Sus scrofa: one gene and its partners. The protein of the gene in region 1 interacts with the protein of each later gene in a pairwise test. Links are inferred from orthologs where the notes say so. Each region holds a gene or a part of one and is shown in the gene's direction. Other genes may lie near its edges. The genes, in order: CDKN1B, CCND2 and CCNA1.

What was found.
Region 2: the proteins of CDKN1B (region 1) and CCND2 interact in binary tests that used the Homo sapiens proteins (3 or more experiments, as listed by UniProt). The two-hybrid records come from large-scale screens. The link is inferred for Sus scrofa from reciprocal best matches to the Homo sapiens genes CDKN1B and CCND2.
Region 3: the proteins of CDKN1B (region 1) and CCNA1 interact in binary tests that used the Homo sapiens proteins (3 or more experiments, as listed by UniProt). The link is inferred for Sus scrofa from reciprocal best matches to the Homo sapiens genes CDKN1B and CCNA1.

The regions. Positions count from the first base shown.
Region 1 is NC_010447.5:59,732,971-59,737,356, reverse strand, and holds the start of CDKN1B (cyclin-dependent kinase inhibitor 1B), read left to right. Parts: upstream 1-1,525; 5' UTR 1,526-1,567; coding exon 1,568-2,042; intron 2,043-2,588; coding exon 2,589-2,710; 3' UTR 2,711-2,718; intron 2,719-4,386. UniProt on the Homo sapiens protein: Important regulator of cell cycle progression. Inhibits the kinase activity of CDK2 bound to cyclin A, but has little inhibitory activity on CDK2 bound to SPDYA. Involved in G1 arrest. Potent inhibitor of cyclin E- and cyclin A-CDK2 complexes.
Region 2 is NC_010447.5:66,091,883-66,094,828, reverse strand, and holds the end of CCND2 (G1/S-specific cyclin-D2), read left to right. Parts: intron 1-2,085; coding exon 2,086-2,232; 3' UTR 2,233-2,346; downstream 2,347-2,946. UniProt on the Homo sapiens protein: Regulatory component of the cyclin D2-CDK4 (DC) complex that phosphorylates and inhibits members of the retinoblastoma (RB) protein family including RB1 and regulates the cell-cycle during G(1)/S transition.
Region 3 is NC_010453.5:12,402,416-12,405,919, forward strand, and holds the end of CCNA1 (cyclin-A1), read left to right. Parts: intron 1-166; coding exon 167-371; intron 372-1,270; coding exon 1,271-1,384; intron 1,385-2,228; coding exon 2,229-2,362; intron 2,363-2,675; coding exon 2,676-2,727; 3' UTR 2,728-2,942; downstream 2,943-3,504. UniProt on the Homo sapiens protein: May be involved in the control of the cell cycle at the G1/S (start) and G2/M (mitosis) transitions. May primarily function in the control of the germline meiotic cell cycle and additionally in the control of mitotic cell cycle in some somatic cells.

The DNA.
Region 1 (4,386 bases):
CTTCACAATCTGGACTTTGCGATTACTTTCACCCTTCAGCGACTTGCAGCTCTCTCAAAGCGTTCACTTGTATCTATCTGAATGTTCTGGGTGGGCTGGAGAAGTGAATCTGGTGGGAGAGAAAGGTGAAGGAAGGAAGGGGCTGTTGTATTTGGCGGCGGGACTCAGGTAGAGGAAACTGCTACAAGCCGGGAAAGAACTGAAAAATATAAAAGAGGAGACGAGTTCCCACACGCAGACCAAGTCAGTGGCCTTAACAGTGCTTGGGAAGCAAGAACCTGGGCCAGGGGTGTATCCTCGCTTTTTTAAACGAAATGTATCTGAGACAGCTACTAAGTTTATTAGGGACTTGGGAGACCAATAGAGTTTTTGATCTCGAAGCCCTTTTCTTGTTTTTATTGAGGGAGAGCTTGGGTTCAGAATACATTACAAATGCAGCATCTATTCCAGTCTACTTATAGAAAGACGTCCTCCTGGGCTTCCCCCCTAAGCCCCCTGCCTCCCCTAGAACAGCACAGACTTCTAGGTTAAGGGTGAGCTAACCACTGCTCACCCCCAGCTAAGGCACCCAGGCTCAGGGGCTCCCCGCCTCCCCCGCTGAGCGAGCGGTGGGGGCCCCCCCGGGAGAGAGCCCAGCTGGGGGCCGAGCGCCCAGCGGCGAGCCCAGCTGCCCGCCCCTACCCGCTCGGCGAGCGAGGGGAAAATAAGATCGCCCTCGGCGAGGAGAGGGAGGTCGGGGCTCCGGAGCGGAGCGCAGCGCAGGGACCAGAACCCGCCACCTCTCCGGCCAGGCCCCTCCCCGGCTCCCCGGCCTTTTGGCGAGTTTGTCTTATTTTTAATTTCTCCGAGGCCAGCCAGAGCAGGTTTGCTGGCAGCCCGGCACCTCCAGCAGTCACGCGACCAGTCGAGCTCCCGGCCGCGCGCTCGGCGGCGGCGCGCTCGGGAGGCGGGGAGGCGCAGCGGCGGCTCAGGGGCCACCTTAAGGCCCAGCTCGCCAGTCTCGGCTGGGCGGCTCCCGGCGCCGCGACCAATGATCTCCTCCTCTGTTTAAATAGACTTGCGGTGTCAATCATCTTCTTCTTCGTCAGCCTCCCTTCCACCGCCATATTGGGCAACTAAAAAAAGGGGGCTCGTCTTTTCGGGGTGTTTTTCTCCCCCTCCCCTGTCCCCACTTTCTCGCCGCTCCGCGACTCCGACGCCGGCAAGGTTTGGAGAGCCGCTCGGTCGGCGGGACCCGCGGGCTCGCAGCGGCGGGGACTCGGACTGGCTCTGCCCCCTCCTCTCTCCGCTGCGCTCCTCTCCCCTCCCCTCCCCGCCCTCCAGCTCGCCCGTACACTTGATCGGCGGAGACTCGGGGCTGCCTGGCCCGGGCTGCCCCTCGCCCCCTCCCCCAGCCCCAGCGCGCTCCTGACGCTCGGGCGCTTACTCGTCGGTGTTTGTTTCTCTTGGCTCGGAGGGCAGCCGCAGGGCTTATAAGAGGGGCTCGGGCTGGGTCGAGGCGTTTTGTTTTGTTCGGTTTTGTTTTGCGAGAGCGCGAGAGAGGCGGTCGCCGAGCCCCGGGAGGAAGATGTCAAACGTGAGAGTGTCTAACGGGAGCCCGAGCCTGGAGCGGATGGACGCCAGACAGGCGGAGTACCCCAAGCCCTCGGCCTGCCGAAACCTCTTCGGCCCGGTCAATCACGAAGAGTTAACCCGGGACTTGGAGAAGCACTGCAGAGACATGGAAGAGGCCAGCCAGCGCAAGTGGAATTTTGATTTTCAGAATCACAAGCCCCTGGAGGGCAAATACGAGTGGCAGGAGGTGGAAAAGGGCAGCTTGCCCGAGTTCTACTACAGACCCCCGCGGCCACCCAAAGGCGCCTGCAAGGTGCCGGCGCAGGAGGGCCAGGGTGTCAGCGGGACCCGCCAGGCGGTGCCTTTAATTGGGTCTCAGGCCAACTCAGAGGACACACATTTGGTAGACCAAAAGACTGATGCACCGGACAGCCAGACGGGGTTAGCGGAGCAGTGCACTGGGATAAGGAAGCGACCTGCCACAGACGGTAATGACCCTTTCGAATGCATGAAACGTCTGTTTGTCTGCCTCTCTCTGTTTGTCTGCCGTGCTGTTTTCCCTGCTTGAGGATCTTAAACCTCCGCTTTCTTTTCAGCGCATTCTGACTTAGCTCTTGGGGAACACACCTTCCTCATCTTAGGTTTTAAATGCTATTTGGCTAGCTGCTGGTCTGTTTATGACTTTTAAGTCTGAAGCATGAGACTGTGCTATCTGATAATTTCTCTAACTGAAAACATCGCGGCTCCTCCCCGCTAGCCAGCTGTAGGTATGTGACAACGTTGGGATGTTTATCAACCACCTCCCTCTTCGCTTTGGAGAGAGAGAGATTTGGGGCGTAGAATACACTTTCTGTTATGTGAAAACAACCTCATTTTGTGCCCTTAAAGGCCACTGGGAATGACGGATCCAGGATGGTGGGTGGAGGTGGTGGGTTTTTTGTCCCCTCAGTATCGAGCCAACTTGTGTCAGCCATTGTTTTTTCTAATAAAGATTATTTGTGTGTGTTCTTTTTAAAATTCCCTCCTGCCTTTAGATTCCTCTCCTCAAAACAAAAGAGCCAACAGAACAGAAGAAAATGTTTCAGACGGTTCCCCGAACTCGGCTTCAGTGGAGCAGACGCCCAAGAAGCCCGGCCTCAGAAGGCGTCAAACGTAAACTGCTCGGTGGGTTGATCACTGGAAGCAAATAAGTGACACCCGATTTGGGCTGAAGGAACTCATGGGTTTTCAAACACCAAGATACCCGATCTTAGTGGTGTCTGGCAGATTAGAGCTTGTGGGGTTTTGTTTGTATTTTATGAGGTCCAAAAAAAGGAGGAATGGGAAAGACTGGGCATCAGGGTGGGGGTACTATAATTCTTCCCAGTTTCTCTGTCCTGAGATCATTTTCCTTTGAAGCTCCCAATGATTAGAGCAAGTGTCCCAGGCAAATACTTGCAACCAAGGCCCTGTGGGTAGGAAGGTCAGTTCCCTGAGAGTCCCATCAAAACGGTGTTGGGAACAATAGGTTCTTTTTCCATCTGAACAAGAGCGGGGGTCTGCCTCCATCCCACTTCAGGAGAATTCATCTCCCAGAGGACCAAGCTGACTCTAACAGATTTTGAGCCATACATGGAAAAAAATGGCAAATAAATGATCCAGTTAAAACTTTGAGGGAAAAGTTAGGTACAAATGGCTCATATCTGGTTAATCACATGGTTAGAAATGTGAATAGAGAGGAGTGTGGCTTTCTTTTATCTATCGTTTTCACAAAGTGTCACTTGCCCTGTTTTCTGATCAGTGTGGGGGATGGAGAAGGAACCTGTGTATTTAAAAAAAACCAAAATGGAAGGCTCAAAAACGCTAAGGTTCCTATGGAATTTCTGATAACACTGAAGTTACAAAGCAGAAGTTAAGTAACTCTGCCAGAGTAAGCAATCCAGGAACACGTCAGCATGTGTATGCTAATCGTGCTATAACAGGATAATTTGGATATTTGTAGGGGAAATGGATAGTAGATACCAGGGCTGCCACTGGTTAGGGCTACCCCGAACAAGGCAAGTGGACATTTTTCCACCTACTAAAATCTGATCAATGTAAAAAACTAATTTGCATAATTCAGCCCCCCAGCTTTACATGGATTGGTTTCCATAATGATCAAACTACATATATTAGTTAATAGTTTGTACACTCCTTACAGACAATGACCGTGACCTCTTTTTTTTCCCCTCCACAAACACCCTCATAGCTTAGCATTTAAAGAGATCCTAAGAGATGTTGACATTAACTTTCAAAATCCTCATTTATAAAAATTTTAAAATAAAGAACAGGGATGAAGGTAGGGTTCAAGTTTGTTGTGTTTTTACATCAGTGTCACAGGTAGGACTTTATTACATACGTCTGATATCTTTCAGAGCTTATACAACACGGCACTATCGAACCCTACGTTATAGCTGTATATGAAGTGAAAAAAATTTCTGAGTCAACCTTAACACCTGTGGCTCTTGTTGGTTGGTGACTCGTGGCCTAGCTCATCAGATGAGCCACAGCAAATCAGACCTACTGGATTTTGATCTGGCCGCATTCTGACATACAGAGAGGCATTTGTTAGTAAATATTGCCAGTTCAGCGAATACAGGAAATAGTAGTAAGGACCTCTTCTCAAGCATTCATGTGTGTATACTCTTCATACGACTGAGAAACTAGTTTTTTTTTTGGGGGGGGTGAATAGAATTTTCTTTGGTGAGCTTTTCTATTTCCAGTTATTTTTCAAATTTAGAAAATTTTGCTACTCTTAAGTGTTAACAGTTCCTTAATTTTCCTGTGTCTGTTCTTTCTCACTATTTTTGACCC
Region 2 (2,946 bases), about 6.4 Mb from region 1:
GCAGGTGTGCTGCCCCGGGTTACCCCTCCACGGGGCCAGAATTAGCCTCTCAAGGAAGGACAGTTGGACAGAATCGGCCAGGAGCTTCCTAGGGGGGCGATCCAGAGGAGTTTTGTCTCTTGTCATTTTTTGCCTTGTTAACTTTTAAGATGAATTGTTTTCTTCGCTTGTAAGGCTTTCGAGTGCTCAGATATTTTGTGCTAAGATGCAGGTGCCCTTAGAAGCATCGCCACCTTAGCCTTCAGTGCCTGGTACCTCATGAGTAGTGAGCAACCAGGAGCCTGGCCATGGGCAGAGCCAGGGGCTGGTGAGGCTTCAGCTTTGTAATCACCAGCTGGGGGTCAGGCAGGTTTGAGGACATGACCAGGCGAGGCCACAGGAAAGCTTGAGAAATGTCGCCACTGGGCTCGGTGGCCAGTCCCTGGCCCTTCCTCTGCTTGTTCGGGGTGGACGGAGAGCTTGGTGGCCAGGGTGCACCTGCCCCACTGGATACTCCTCCCGGGGGCCTATCGCAGTGCCCGCCTCACCTGTCCTGAGCAGATGTTCCATCCGTCGTACCTCGTTTCAGAGAACTCTCAGGAATTCTTTCAGCTTCCCGGACTGACTTGTTATTCATAATAAATGATTGCCGTGTGTTGAACTTAGCACTTCACCTGATGAGCTCCGTCAGTGCTCCCTCTGTGAGCGCTTCCTTAGCCTTATTTTACAAGTGGGCACACTGGGGTCAGGGAAGGAAAGTAACTTTGCCCAAAAGGCTGGTGGTCTGATAGCAAAACACCACCTCCCTCTCTTCACTCTTCCTCATTCCGGGTGCTGTTTCATCTCTGCCCTCAGTGCTGGGTTGGCTGTTGTCCCTAATCTTAATTTTCATAAAAAGCTGTAGTTTGAAATGTGGAATGGATGAGAGATAAGAAAGGAAAATGTTTTGGGGGGTCTGCAAATGTGCTCCTAGTAATTAACTTCAACTGTATTGATTTTGGCTGCACCCGCAGCACATGGACGTCCCCGGTCCAGGGGTTGAATCCGAGCCACCACTTCAGCCTACACCACAGCTGCGACCATGCTGGGCCCTTAACCCAGTGTGCCACAGTGGGAACTCTCTAACTTTATTTTAGATCTTTGGAAAATAAAGACAATGTTTTGTGCTTGGCCAGCAACAACTACTGGGCCGTGAAAGATTGCAAGGTGAAGCAAGCAAAAGGGGAAAATATGCAAAACTGGAACGACCCAGGCGGAGTGGATTATTGTCTGTGTGTACATGCTGCTTGGGAGAGCCCTTCAAGCTGATGCCCCGCTTGCTAGTGTCAGCCACAGTCCCTCCCTGGTGACACCCATGAATTGCCATTGTGTCCCATGTCCCTCAGCTCCTAGAAGCTTCTGCGTGGGGCCAACCCACTCCAAATTTTCTCTACCAAATATAGACTAATATCAAAGCAGTGCTGCAAATTTTTTTGCCTATTCCCAAATTAGAGAGCTCAAGGGCACAGACTCCTAAACGGTCTGTGTTGTGTTGTCATGCAAGTTCAACAGTTAGTAAGCAGAAAAGCAGACTGTGCCTGTTTTTAAGCATTTCCGCAGTTGCTCTCGCTCTCAGTCCATTGTCTTATCTGTCCCTCAGGGGCCACGTTGATCTGGTGCCTTCACACAGTCTCCAGGGCTGGCTTCCCCTTTTCCCTCTCACCGCCCAGCATCTCCAGGAAGGAAGCATCACTGGCCCTTTGATTACCAGGCGCAGCACGGTCATCGCTGCCCTGATTCTCTTGTGCATCCGATTCACCTGGGCTTCTGCTAAAATGCAGATTCTGATTAGACTGGTCCCGAGAGGGCTGAGGGTCTGCATTTCTAACGAGCCCCAAGGTGGCGGTGGTCCTGATGCTACTGGTCCAGGGACACCACGCCCCCATGCCCCGCCACGGAGTGGGGAGGTTCCACGGCACCAGGAGGACCCATCTCCTGTGCTTTCTGACTCCTGTGCTTTTCTACTAGAAAACAAGTGTGGGCCTAGATGAGGCTCGAACTGTGTGTGCGTTCTGCGTCTTGCTGCCCTTGCTAACAGCTCTGGTCTCTGGACCGTTCTCCTTCCAGGATTGCCTCAAAGCCTGCCAGGAGCAGATTGAGGTCGTGCTGCTCAACAGCCTGCAGCAGTACCGTCAGGACCAGGACGGATCCAAGTCGGAGGACGAGCTGGACCAAGCCAGCACCCCTACAGACGTGCGGGATATTGACCTGTGAGGATGCCGGGTGGCCCCGACGGGTCCAATCGGCTCTCTCCTTCCTTCTCTCTGGTTGTGTTTTGTTCTCTTATGTTTTAGAATGAAACTTTAAAACAAACAAAAAAACACACACACAAAAAAAACGAAAAACAAATTCTGCTCCCACCTAGATCATATTTGAAAGATCTTTTAGAAGTGAGAGATAAAGGTTCTGTAAAAACGGAATAATGCAAAGCATCTGGTGCCTATTTGAAGTACAACACAAGGGAATCTCTTAGATATGCGAACAGTTCCTGCTTGACGATGTTAAAAGTCATGGTAAAATGCTTACAGGAAAACCTACAGAGTAGCTAGGAAAATGTACGCCTGCACTATGGGAACAAATTAGAGACTTGTTTTTCATGTTATGGACTAGCACGTATACACCCCTTGTAGGATAATCTCTAGGAACGGCCGATGCCTTTTATGGCAAGATTCGATTTCAAAGCAATGAACTCGAGAAAGAATTAAGAAATAAGGAGGGGCAGGATGGGGGAGGGGGGTTGCCAAATAGTCCCCACGCAATCGAACCATTTTGGACGGAGAAGCGCCCTGGCTCCTGACCTGTTCGGTACTGAGTCGGGAGCTCTGCGGGTCACTAGTGACAACTCTTGCTGTCTACAGTAGCTGCTACCTAAAAGAGATGTTCTGCTTTGCCCATTGGACACGGGTGATTGGATCCGGGGTTTCACGG
Region 3 (3,504 bases), on another chromosome or scaffold:
TGTCCTGGAAACAAACTCCTCTTATTTTCACAGTCCTGAACCATGCAGTGATTTTTAAGTGATATTTAAGTCCCCGAGGGCCACATAACAAGCACGGTTGAGACAGCACAAGAGGGAGAGGCACAAGGTTCACGATTTACCTCCCCAAACTCTTTCCCTTTCATAGGAAATATGAGGAAATATATCCACCTGAAGTAGACGAGTTTGTCTACATAACTGATGACACTTACACAAAACGACAGCTGCTGAGAATGGAACACCTGCTCCTGAAGGTCCTGGCTTTCAATCTGACGGCACCAACCACTAACCAGTTTCTCCTTCAGTACCTAAGAAGACAGGGTGTGTGTGTCAGGACTGAGAACCTGGCCAAGGTACGTGGCGCGACTTCCAAGTACTCTGGTTAAAAAGGGAGACTCCTTCAGTTTTCCTTCCTTTTCAGTTCCTTGCCTTGGACCCTTCTAGAAAAGCTTTCTAGCAACTGGAAGAGAGCAAACTTTAAGACATGACTTCTGCTGACAAGACATCACTATTGATCGCATTTGGCAGACACACGTTGTCTAATCACCCAACTCTTAACAGATTTAAGCTTGGAAACTGTTCCCTGTGTACAGACCACATGCAAGCAATACCTCTTTGGTTTACAGAATAGGAACACGATAAATGTAGTTTGATTTGGCTCTGATGTCATCCTGACATGTTAAGTAATGGAACACGATTTGGTCATTTGGAGTCCTGGAACTTTAGTTAAAGGCACTAAAGCATTGGTTTGGAAGACTTGGTTTCCATCTATAATGATCTACTATATATGGTATTTATATGCTATTTAAAGATGTTCATATACACTTCCCAATATGTTTCTTTAAATCTGGTAAGTTCCTGCTGGTACTGTTCTAATCTCTGAACTGCATTCATTTGCCTGATAAATTAATAGCTTTAACATGGACATATTTTTGCCTTTGGTTGAAGGCTCTAGTCCACTCCAGGAGCCAGGGCAATGCTACTTGACCAGCATAAACTTGCACTACTAGGATAAGTAACCCATCACATCTGCTGTACTGGTAGGCCAAACACTTGCATGTTGAAATTTATTATAAATGTTATTCTGGTTGTGGAGAGGCATAACAATTATTAACCCAGTGAATAATTTTGAGCATCTGTTTCTGTGCTCATCACTAGATGCACATTGAACAAAGATGCCACATTTTCTAGGTTTACTTGTAACCTTACTCATATTCCTAATTCCCATGAGATTTTTCTCTCTTGTGCTTAGTACGTAGCAGAATTGAGTCTCCTTGAAGCTGACCCGTTCTTGAAATATCTTCCTTCACTGATAGCTGCAGCTGCTTATTGTCTGGCAAATTATACTGTGAACAGGCACTTCTGGGTAAGGTTCTAACTGCTTCTTTCTAGATGAATTTCAAGGCCTATCTAAAATCTGTTCAGTTCCTCTCAAGGCTTATAATGGGCTTGCCTCCCAAGGGGGAGAGTTCCTTATTAAACTAAGATTACAATATGCTGGTGAGTGTTGCAGGTCAGCCTGCAGGGCTTTGACTCAGTAACTTAGCTCAATGGGGAGCAGAGGTTGCAGAAAGTCCAAGAGATGCGGTGGCTCATTCAATGGAAGCAGGCCCGGAGAACCCTTGTAGTGTAAGCATTGAGCACTTCAAGGCAAAAGATGCTGCCTTGTCCCCTCTGGTAAAACAACCTGGCTTTAATTAGGATGGCCAGAAGGTTGTATCAAGCTTTCAAGGGAACAGAGAAGTTAGCATTGCTTCTTGGCCTGTGACAGTTGGCAAGATTAGAAACAGGCCCCTAATATTTGATTTTGAAGGCTCATTTTTGTGCTAAAAGAGGGGGGCATCTACTTTTATTTACTGGAATTCTTATTTCTTATTCTGTATTTGGCTAAGAATCTTTCTTATTACATGCAAATAGAGTATTCAGGTAAGTGGAGGCTCTTTAGGGGCCAGTAAAAATCCTGCTCATGAGAGAATAAACTATCCAAGGTTGAGCATTATAATTGTATAATATGAGCAGATCTAGAACTCTGCCTGTTCGTCCTAATATCTTATTTCTACAGTCTCTGAAAGAGGATTATGGGTTCTTTTGAGATGAATAGGGATACTTACTGATTCCTTCCCTTTTTTTCACGGTTTGATCTCCAGATTTCTGATAGCTCATAAAGCTATATGATGCAGTTTTTTTCTTTTGTCTTTTGTCTTGATTAGCCAGAAGCCCTTGCTACGTTCACAGGCTATTCACTGAGTGAAATTGTGCCTTGCCTGAGTGAGCTGCATAAAGCCTGCCTTGGTATACCCCACCGACCTCAACAAGCAATTAGGGAGAAGTATAAGGCTTCAAAGTAAGTTCCTGAAAATCTCTTATCTGGGCTCAACTATGTAAAGCTTTAATAGGTGATGGTAATTTCAGAATTAAAAACAGAACAAGTTGGCTATCTGGTGCTAGGCTGGACAAGTAGGATAGCATGTCAAATTAAGAAAATCGTTTTTGAGGGTTTATAATCGTTTAGGTTTATAATTGGTCAGCTTGCAGTCCATCTCGCCAGCCAGCTCCTTCCTTTCTGTTAAAACCACTAGAAAGTTTTTGGCCTTTGTGAGGTTTTGCGAAACCAATGTCCTTGGCTCGTGCTGAACTTGCTTTGGGTCTCGTTTCAGGTACATGCATGTGTCTCTCATGGAACCACCCGCAGTCCTTCCTCTACAATAAGTTTCGGAACTGAAGCACTTTCAGAACTTAACCACCAGATCCACAGAATTGGTTTCATGTTTTCTAGCACTCTGCAGCTCGGGTCAACTAGTGTTGCTTTGTTATAGATGGCATTCATTTTTTAGATGTACATGTATTTAGGTTCTTTTAGATATTAGTAGCTTATAATATGTCTCACATTTTCTAAAGAATAAACAGCTTGCCTTCTGACCACATGTTAAGCATATTTACTGATGACTATGCCTGGAATTTTGGTTGGGAGTATTACAAATGTCATCTCTACTTCAAGAATGCTTCTCTGTAGGTTTAAGTTAATTTAATTATTTATTTATTTAATGGTTGCGCCCACAGCCTTTGAAAGTTTCCAGGCCAGGGACTGAATCTGAGCTGCAACTGTGACCTGCACCACAGCTGCGGCAACACCAGATCCTTTAACCTACTGTGCCAGGCTGGGGATTGGACCTGCACCTCCGCAGTGACCCGCTGCAGCTGGATTCTTAACCTGTTGTGCCACAATAGGCGCTTCCCTATGCTTTTAGACATCTGGCAGACTATTAGGATTAAGTGTCCTGAGGAATCCGGAGATTTTTATGTTTAGTACATGGCTACCTGAGATTTATTTCCTTCCTACTTTTCACTTCTCATACAGCAGTCCATAAATTGGCAAAGTGTGAAGGCCAAGCCTAGGCAGGTTAGTGAAAGGATGTGAAACAACACCATCTCTTTGAGCTTTCCTACTGGACCCTCGGGAGTAAAGACCGTGGGTTGAGGACTAGA